Drosophila melanogaster: one gene and its partner. The protein of the gene in region 2 binds, or shares a complex with, the protein of the main gene of each other region. Each region holds a gene or a part of one and is shown on either strand. Other genes may lie near its edges. The genes, in order: Rbp and cac.

Region 1 (5,041 bases), on a different chromosome or scaffold from region 2:
GCACGTTATCTAACAGGGAGAAAGCAGGGAATTGGGAAGGTAACCTCTGCCAGCACAGTATCTTTATTTCCGCACAACGTGCCGTATGCGTAATATCATTTACAACTGCAAGGCGACTGTCTAGTGAAATATACAAAAAGTCGTAATTAAAACAATATTCGTTGACTATTCGTGGTTGGAAAAAAACGCCACAAAGAAATGAAACGAAATATTCCTGCCAACTTTGTTGGCCCCAAACTTCGACAAACTAATTTAAAAACTTTGTTGCGTTTTTGGTTTTTGGCGCGCAGCAACTTTGATTTACTTTGAAATGAAGTGCCCAGAAAACCAAGAAAAAAAAGCGGGAGAACAAAAGTTGCAACTGCAAAATGGCAATTTCCACCTTGTGTGTTGACAGACAAGTTTGCAAAGAAAGGCAATTAATTAGCATCCGGAATCGGTTGCCTTGGCAAACTCACGAAAAATGCAAAAAGTTGGCCATACCAAGCTAATATTTACATATTCTCCAGCAAAGGTCGGTGAAAGTTTTAAAGCACCATTGTCTGCTCTTCGATGCCCTAATGAGCTGTCGTTCAATTAATTGAATGCTCACACACTTGGGCCATAACAATCAAGTGCTTCTAATTGCAGCAATTATAGCCGACGAAGGCAGGGGCCAACAGCCATTGCCAACAATTACATGCATAAATAGTCGACAATGTGCTCGAGAATATGACGAGTGGCAAGTCCTAAAAATAACACTGCGAGCAGAAACTTTTTAAAGTCGAGCAATTACAATTACAATTACATTTAAGATGTTGGGAAAAGTTCATTATCCTGCTGCTGGCATGACCTCAATCGCAGAGCCAAGGAAAAAAGCGAACCAGAACACGAGCACAAAAACTATCTTGCCTATTTATAACAAGCTGCTCACACACAGGCACACACACAGACCCACGAATTTCGTCGCTTCTGGCGCTGAAATACTATAGAAAAAAACCATAGCACAGTTATGGGGTGGAAAACCAAACCGCCAAACCGGGAAATGGGAAGTGGTTCGGAGAGAAGCAGGGGGATCCCCGCCTGTGGACATCTCATGGTCGCAGTTTGGCTGGCAGCCCAGCATATAAATTATTGAATGATTGCCATCTGTCAAAATTGGCCAAACTCAACGATTAATCCTGCTCGGAAAAATCCAATAAAATCATAATGGCTTTTCTTTTCAAGCCGTTCTTTATATTTTTCAACACGGGGGATCTTTCTGTTGGCTTAAAGGAAAATTCAATTGAATAGTTGCACATTTGAGTTCTTCATGTATTAAATACATATGCAACATGTTAATTTAAATTTGGCCAATTATGTTTTAATTCATCTACAGAAAAAACTACATATTTATAGAAGGAAGCTATGAAGACTTTCTTTTCATAATAAGCCCGTCTAGGTTGTGATAATGTTGTATTAAGTATCCGCAACGTGTACCAGGCCATCGACGCGTGACTTTCGATCATTGCAGTGGAAACTGAGTACAGTGGGCTATAAATATATACGAAATACGTGAAAGCATTCAATCGGTGGAAAGTGCTGTTACGGGTATTAAAACACCGCTCCAGAGAAGGTAACGGTAACCGCATGCACGCTGTAGATACCTTTAGTGTACATATATATGTATGCATATGTACATGCATACGTACATACACACGAACGTGTGTGGTGGGTGTACACTGTATGTAGTATGTGTGTTACGCACGCAGCAGCAAACAACTTTAACATTGTTGTTGCGCAGGCTGTGGGACAAGTGTGAAGTGAAAACCGCCCCCAGAGTGCGAACCCAAAAAGTGGGACTTTTCTGCTGCTGCTGCTGCTGGTGCTGCTGGAAGCTTATGAATATGAAACGCTCACACACACATGCTGCTCCTGCCGTTGTGGCACTTGCAGTGGTATTGGTGCTGCTCCAGTTTCGTTGGCCATTTACATCTACTTTACTTACATGCCTCTCGCTCTTTTCGCTTTCTCTGTATGTGTGTGGCGGGTGTATGCGTGAGTGTGTGTGGGTGCGCGCTTTTTTGTGCCAAAATGTAGCTGAACTCTGCTTTTAGCCAATTTCTCCGATTTTATTTAGGCATTTTTCTATAATTTCGGTTTCATTCACCATTTCGCCTGCCTCGGTTTTACAGTGATTACCCGCATTTGCATATTGTATATGCATCAGCATGTGGGCGAGTATGTATATGTATATGTTTGGATATATGTATGCATGTGAGTGTGTGTGGGAGAGTGTAGTTTTACGCTGGCTGCTCTTTTTCGTATTTTTTTTTTTTTTTTGCCTTTATCGATATGCTTACACTTTTACTTTTCACTGTCCCACCATTTTCCCGGAATCATTATATCTTTCACTGGATTTTTTAACTGCACTCGCGGCGAGCTTTTTCACGTTATTGGCGAGAAAATGAAATTTTCACGCAGCAGCGGTGCTGTTGGGCAAACATTTGGTGTACAGCGAAATTTTTCGTGAGCTCGCTCGCTCGCATAACAGCTCTTTTTTTCAGCTTGCGCAAAATAAGTATTTACCACGCGATTTTGACACTTTTTGCTTAAACTGCGGTTTTCGTTTTCGGAAGCACAGGATTTTATCCTTTCTTTTTGGGTTAACTTTTTGTAATATTTTGTATTCGGGGGCTTTTGAACGGGTTGCGAACCTTTTTTGCTGCTTGTGCTTCTGCTTCTTGCTTGCTGCTGCTGCTGCTTTTTCAGGTCGCCTGTTTTCCTCTTCCACGTTTGCGCTGGGAAATTCACATAAATGCATATAGTTTACACTAGGCTACGTAGGCTGTACATAATATATCCGAAAAACGCGATCGTTTCACTGCTACTATATAGAAAAAAACTCCGCCTAGTTGTCCACTTTCTGTGGGTAGTAGCAGTTGGGTCTCAGTGCGAATACCGAAAAGTGGGTCATCTCGGTCGCGCTGCTGGCGCACTCTGATTTCTACCCAACTGCCAGCTCGGTGCTCAGTGTGCCAGAGCAGAGTGGCCCAGAGAACCCAGAGCCGAGCACTCAGTACCCAGTGCCCACTATTCAGTGTGCGGGGAATCGATTTTTCTGCCAAATGACACTGAAAAACGGGCAATTCTCTCCCGCTCTCAGAAGGACTCCTTTGGGGTTGCAACTGGGTAAATTTCTGCTCAGGGCCTGTTATTGGGGGTTTACTATTACTTTTGGCTGTTATCCGTTAACAGCGCTGTCCTCTGTTAACGACATGTGCGTGTAAATCTGAGATTTTGATTTCAGTTTACCAATCTCTGATTTTCGAAATCAATTCTCGGGTAATATAAAACAATTATTTCCACATCATACCACACCTAATACTATAAATTATAAAGTAATTTTACGTAAATTGGTTAAATATGAAACACTCTTTTCAATTTTGGAATATAAATACATTTATTTGTCGTTTTCTTTTCGCTATGTCTACATTATGAGTTTGTTGCCGTTCTTTTACTTTTGCTTAGTGTTCGATTTTCATATAACATTTTATTAATTAAAATAATTTTTTCTCCATCCTGTTGATAGTGCTGTCGGCCACTAATGTCTTTCGCTTTCGCAGTTTTCAAATAGAACATATCATTAAGTAAAAGATTATTATGTATAGTGTTTAAATTTCAAACTCTAACAATTAAAAACAGTTAAAAATTTAAGTGTTCCGTTAATGTTTTTGTTTGTCATCTCCCCGTAGTACATACATTTCCTGTTTCTCGTTTTTTTTCCACTAATTTTAAATTTATTCGTAGGCGCTTCTCCTAAACAAAAACAAACTAGCCGATGTTGTTTGTTAACAGAAAAAGAATGAATTATTTACAATAAATTGTAAACGAAAAATAAACTCTCGCACACATCGTCCGTCTCCATAAATAGTTGCTCACTAGTTAATTACAATGCTTAGGCTTCGCAAAATTTTGTGTCCGAGTATGTGTAATACATATGTATATACGATATAAATTAGGCCTATTTATTTAGTTACAACAGATTTTCATTTACGTTCAAACATTTAACTTGGACTGCGTCGGGCGATTTTGTATTTAAGTGTGTTGAGTTTATTTGATTTGTTTCGGTCTTGGTATGTTAAATGGTTATTTAAACATAAAATTAAAATGCCACTAATTAATTAATTTGCCATAATTAAAGGATTTAATTCTCTACTCGCATTTACTCTTAACTGTCAGCATTATTTGATTCGTTTGCCGTATTAGAAAAAGTGCACTTATGAATACTGCATTCGGTCTGAAAATAGATAAAATAAAAGAGAATCGGTTAGAAAATCCTTGCTGAAGCAATTTGAATTAGTAATGCAATTTGGCCCCAATTTCATGAAAAGGTCAGCGGTAATAGCCATTAGTACGTAATCGAAGCAATTTACAATTTAAAATGGGCGGGGGTCCGGCTTAATATCCGCCCCTCAGAATCTCCGGCGCAAAATGATAAACCAAACAATACCCGGAATGCCAATGGAATGACATCATCTCAACGGTTGGCCCGAAACGATAAGAAACCAGATATGAGCCGATTTAAAGAAACCGGCTGTCATGGCGTCGCAGCGTATCGTTTGATAACACATATAGTAAATAATCACTGCAGGTGATTCTTAATACTTACTGTCCTTCTTTGAAGTACTCCTTCAGCGTTGTGCTGAACTTCTTGGAATATTTGACGAACTCCTTCTTACGCTGCTCCACAGCCTGCTTGCCCGTTACGCCAGGTATAAACGAGCCGATCTCGTTGACCACATCGAGTAGTTTCTTTATGGCGCTGGCGATTTCCCTGTAAAACGCAGTAAAATTTCATTATTCATTAATCAGTTAAGCTTATGCAGTGAGTTTTAGCTTCATTTTGAGTTTTTACTTACTTGATGGTCTCCAGGAAGGTCTTCCTGTCGTTTATCTCATCGGGTATGCGGCTGAGGATCACCTTGAGAGCCACGGACTTACGATTGAGCTCCTGGAAGGGCTCCTCCGTGCGCGTCAAGCGGTATTCATTGACTGTGGAAGGGGGAAACTTCGTTAGCTA
Region 2 (5,210 bases):
TTGCAAATTTCAACTCTCTCCATTCCATCCACACACACACACATATACACACGTACCGGCAGAAGCTCTCTCCCCCTCTCTCTCTCACTCTTTCTCTTTGGTTTCAACAATCACTGGGTCACACCGATAACGATAACATCGCAACCACAAATCGCTTGCCTACTTTTAAGGGCCCAGTAAATCTGGTTGCATTTGCATTTAAATTAACTATTGCCCTATTTTGAATAGTTCATTTTCAATTGCGCAAAGCAATGTCTTTTCTTTAAAAGCAATTCTTGTTATTTATTGCAATTGTATAGTTCCAGCTCTATTTTCCCTAGTGACGTCACCAGGCACAGTTGTCTGAAATTTTTTTTTTTTTTATGTTGACGATGTCTTTCGGAACGATTTTGGGTTTTTGGAATGGGCAGAAGCTATATATATCTGTGTGTCTAACTACAATCGGGCCACAGTGAGACCAACGAACCTGTAATTGCCAAAAATAAACAGCAACAATGACACACTTGCCATCGTTGCCCCCTCTAAACTAACGCTTTTTGTTATTTCTTTTTTTCTGGAAACTGTTACACTTTTAATTGGGCTTAAAGAACCAACTAACTGAAATTTGATATGTCGTTATAAGTTTAGTTACAGAGCACACGACTACCACAATATTTGTTCATATGCTCGCATTCAATTCCCCATACGAGTATTCATATGAGCATTGTTAAAAGAACAGAGACAAACAAATTTTTCACTTCCGTGAAGAGAGGAGAACCATCATTAGAATTCGTTTCCGGTATGGAAAACATATACATGTGTAGATTTGTATGTGTGTGTGTGGGTTGGGGAATTTACGACTAGTAAATATTTGTGTGGACTGAGAATATAGTTAATTTAAATATTAATTTGGGGGGTGCTTCCTGCTACATCGCCGCAATTCATTCACCTCGAAAGTGCGTGTACACGTCACAAAAATAAACGATATACCGATAGGCTAAAAAACACCCGAAAACTCCATATCTCCTTTTCCTTCTCCTTCAGCTTTAGCTTTGGCTTTAGCTTTTCCTTTCGCCTTTGCTTTTCCACTTGCCTCTTGCCACATCCACTTCCACTTCCATCCACCGCAATATATAGCACCACCGACGCAACATTCCGCCCGTTGTGCTACCGACCCGCTGACCCAATCCCAACAACTATGTATATATATATGGCTATACATATATATGTATATGTATATGTATATGTATATGGATATGTATATTCGTGCGGGTGTGTTGGTGTGTGTGTGGTGCGTTCGTGGGGCTTGTTAACTTTAACTTTTACAACTGGTTTTTAAGGATAGCTTCGGTAATTGGGATTTGAAACGAACGCATATATATATGTATATGAATGTGGCTAAAAATAAAAATTAGATCTGGTTGCCTGGAGGAGCACAATCAGAGGTCGTTTATTGGCTTCAGTAAGCCCGAATAATGCTTTTCACTTGGTTTCCCGATATCTTTTCTTGCTATTTTTGCTGTCCTCGCCGCCATTGTCGCCAATTCGACGTTTTGCCATTGGGTTTTTCACGATTTTTCACGATTTTCACGCTTTTCCGACTATATTTCTTGTTCTTGGTTTGGATGTTTGTAGTGTTATTTTCACCACTCGACCCGAATTCGGATGCCAGCGCACACAACATTCGAAATGTGGAATTTTCACAGCACTTTTAACCCCGCATTGCGAGTGATTTTCACTTGATTTCTTTAACGCCAGGCTTCTGTATTCAGCCACATTTTAGTTGTCGCACATTTGCTGTTAAATTGACTGGGTCCCGAGTTAAAAATAAAAAACAAAAACCGCTTCTACGGGAGCTGTCACCACCGACTTTGTCTCACCAGTTGGACGAAAAACTCAACAAAACGCAAGACTTCAACTCGGCGACTTTGTATCACATACTACCACATCGCCAGGGTCCAAACACACGCACAAAGGGCAAAAATATGGGGAAAAAAATCTACCAGCCCTGCGCTCTGCATCCGCCCGAAAGCTCTGGTCCAAGCTTCAGTTCAAGCTCAATCGGACAATCGGAGGTGGACACACTGGCCAGCCAGTGCGGAGGAGAGCGCATGCGTGTCCTCCAAGGAAACCCGCTCCTAGGACCGTTACAGTCGTCGATTGAGCTTTAAGCTCCGCTTGCTCTTCACCCCTTGGGAACAAAACTATCGAACTTTCGAGAAATCGCGGTTTTAAAATCCGGGCTTAAATCATACTGCTAAAGTTTAAAAAAAAAGCGAAGCGACGAAGTTTAAGCTACTTACCCATTCTAAGAGTTTTTTTTTTAATTGATTTAAGTAATTGATTTACTACTGCCACAATTGTTGATAAAGCTTTAAGCTTTAAGAATACTTTCAACCCCTTGTAGTAAAAACTTTTGCATCAAGATATCGGTTATTTGAAAACCCGGCTTTAACCGAATTACAAATGATCAAAGGCGCTCTCATACTTGACCTAATTAATTAATATATAAAACAAACAACATATTTTACTCTATTTCAGACTTAATTTTATCTCTGTACATTTCAATAACCCTCGTCAATTACCTTTGCATACTATCTTTAATAATAATGAATTTTTACCAATTTTCAATACTTTTCTAAATATCAATTGATCTTTTAAAATAATGTTAAGTTTAAATAATTTATATTTAAATTGGTAGTGGTACTCACATTAGGTCGCCTAGATTCGGTCGCGTCTGGACAAGAGCAAAACTTTCCGGAGCCCGGCGCCTTTTGTTAGACCCTTGCGAGCCGTAGTGCGTGCTCCGCCGGATGACGCCATCGCCGATGATGGCAATATTGTCATCCAGACCGTTGATGTTGCTAATGGTCAATCGCGCCATAGGAGATGAGCCCCTTCGGCGACGAGCTCCCACTCCGCCCAGCATTCTGGGAATCGATGAATCGAACTTTGCAATACGCGAAATGTACTCCAAATATTGCCATTTCTGTAATATATTCACTACCAACTATCGGGCACGTTCACAATACAATGCGTTGCACTTGTTTGGGGATCTTCAACGATTGCGAATGTCCGTAGACGACGGGCCCAGAGCCCCAGGTGTGATGCACCAGCTGCCACGGTCCGGACGGAACTGATAGTCGATGGCTACGACTGCTGTCGATGCCCCAACAACCCAGCAAGATAGATAACGGCCCAGATGGCGATGACGACGATTGCGGCTGATGACGTGCGATGACGTGCTTGATAGTAGTCAGCATTTGCGCAGTACAGTGTCTGCCGCTGGTAATTAGGGTGTCCAGGTGTCCATGGGTGAACGCCGCTCAGACGGGCCAGGCCGCCCACTCCGGCATATTAGCAGCTTCCTTTGTTCACGAGCGCCAACAACACACTGATAACAAAGGCATGGTAAACGTTACTGTATTACAATTAATTTCGATATCAAACATACCTGTGATTCTTTCAACATACACGTTTTCTATATGTGGTCAGAGGAATTTAAACATTGCAAATTTCGAGATTTTTAATGTTAATATTATGGTGGAGATCTAAAAGCGCAGCGATTCTATGGGAAAATTCCTTTTTGGCTTTCCCGTGCCATAATTTATTATTTGAATTGCCCTACTGTCTTAGATAAAAATAAAACTGAAATGCCATAATCAGAAGTTTTCGTAATGAAACTAGCAAAAAAAAAAAAAGAAAAAACCGATAACCGCTAATTACTCCGAGTAACTTTTGCCCATCGCCATGCCCAAGGGGCTATTATCACAGCGCTCACTTAGAAATGCGTTCCCATACACATTTCGGATGTGATTCAAATTACAAAGGCCGTGATCCAGTCCAGAAACTTGGCCACGTCGGCATATATAATGTACTGATTCTTACAGCAAAGCTTATGGCTAGATTCCGCATCCGGTGTCTCTACGGCGGGCAGGGCCGCTGATACTGTGCCACGCAGCATCCAGCGATTGTTCCGGCGGATGAAAAGTCCGGCCCCCGATATACCGGTGTAAATGCTCGCCCCGCTCTGATGCGTATCTCGTTCCTCCGCCTGGATGCCGGCGCAAAACGTTCGGTTTGAGGATAGGCTGCGAAAGTGGGCATTGGCTCGAAAGCATTCGGCATTGCCGACAATGGGAGCCTTTACTACCTTGGGTGCACTGGCATCGGTGGACTTCTTGCCCGGTAGCTCCGACGACAGCTTCTGATCCCGCGTCCTGTTCGTTCTGTCAAAGCTCCAGCCGATGACGATGCCCCGCTCGCCCACAATGTACTCCGTTTTGCTGGAACCAGACCACAGGCAAGCGGGTCGAATAAAGGTGTTAAATCTGCGTTGAAAATAATGGTATACTGTCAATATAATAAATGATCTTCATATTCGATTTCACATCGCGGTTTAGATATGAATCTAAATCTTGAATATGTAAGCTTTAGGCATATTGGCACCCACCGAACTTCGTCCTTGAGTATAATCACTGCGATATCCGCATCGTAGCTGCTCAGCTGACTGTTAAAGTCGGGATGAATGTAAATGCCATCGACGGGGGCCGCCAGAGATCCCTCCTCGTTCCAGTTCTTCAGATTGTGGCGGCCCAGAAAGACGAGCACCTCGTTGGATGTGTAGCGCTTGTTGAACAACTTGAAGCAGTGCGCCGAGCTGATTACAACGCGTGCCGAGACAAGCGAACCGCCGCACTGAAAGTCCAGGGAGGTCAGGTTGTTCACATAGATGGCCGCTAGCCAAGGCCACGATCCCCTGGTGATCGATGGCAGGCTATCGGCGCTATCGCTTTCTATCGCTTCTGCTTCTGATTCGTCCACAAACTGATGCTCCAGGACATCGTCTTCATCGTCATCGACAAAAACTGGCGATGTGATGCCATCGGAGCTCTTTGGTTCACCGATTGCGACATGAAGTGATTCCGTTCTTTGGGACAAGTGAAAGTCCAGATCCCTGTCGATGCGTCCGCAAATCTCCTTGGGCGCCTGGGCAAAGGGTTTTCTACAAAAGCGGACATTAAGTAACGAATGAATGTCACGATCGTGTGTGTGTTTTAACCGACCAAAATCCGGATGCATACTTCTTGAACTGGATGTGCGGCGTACTGGGCGGCTTGTCGTCGGTTTTTCTCACCTCCTCCTCCTCGGGATCTAGCAGCAGGGAGCTCTTCTTATCCGGTATAAAGGACAACTTCCTAATGTGCTCCAACTGGATTTGGGTCATGAAG

Evidence for each region.
Region 1: the proteins of cac (region 2) and Rbp are in contact, whole or in part, in a crystal structure (PDB 4Z8A), measured with the Drosophila melanogaster proteins. Residues at the interface, in NP_001245639.1 of Drosophila melanogaster: Ile1688, Gly1689, Arg1690, Arg1691, Leu1692, Pro1693, Pro1694, Thr1695, Pro1696, Lys1698, Pro1699, Ser1700, Thr1701, Leu1702; in NP_732029.4 of Drosophila melanogaster: Ile1353, Leu1355, Tyr1356, Tyr1358, Leu1363, Pro1365, Asn1366, Val1367, Asp1368, Val1372, Glu1373, Thr1378, Gly1379, Asp1391, Gly1392, Phe1393, Leu1404, Pro1406, Ser1407, Asn1408, Phe1409.

The regions. Positions count from the first base shown.
Region 1 is NT_033777.3:15,372,603-15,377,643, reverse strand, and holds the start of Rbp (RIM-binding protein), read right to left. Parts: upstream 3,010-5,041; 5' UTR 2,783-3,009; coding exon 2,676-2,782; exon of another isoform or gene 1,967-2,675; intron 1-1,966. Other genes in the region: Ccm3 (cerebral cavernous malformation 3), read right to left, coding at 4,174-4,258, 4,631-4,795, 4,881-5,013.
Region 2 is NC_004354.4:11,981,987-11,987,196, forward strand, and holds the start of cac (cacophony), read right to left. Parts: upstream 3,102-5,210; 5' UTR 2,909-3,101; coding exon 2,691-2,908; intron 1,930-2,690; exon of another isoform or gene 1,850-1,929; intron 1-1,849. Other genes in the region: gd (gastrulation-defective), read right to left, coding at 3,797-4,310, 4,433-4,984, 5,064-5,210. UniProt on the Drosophila melanogaster protein: Voltage-sensitive calcium channels (VSCC) mediate the entry of calcium ions into excitable cells and are also involved in a variety of calcium-dependent processes, including muscle contraction, neurotransmitter release, gene expression, cell motility, cell division and cell death.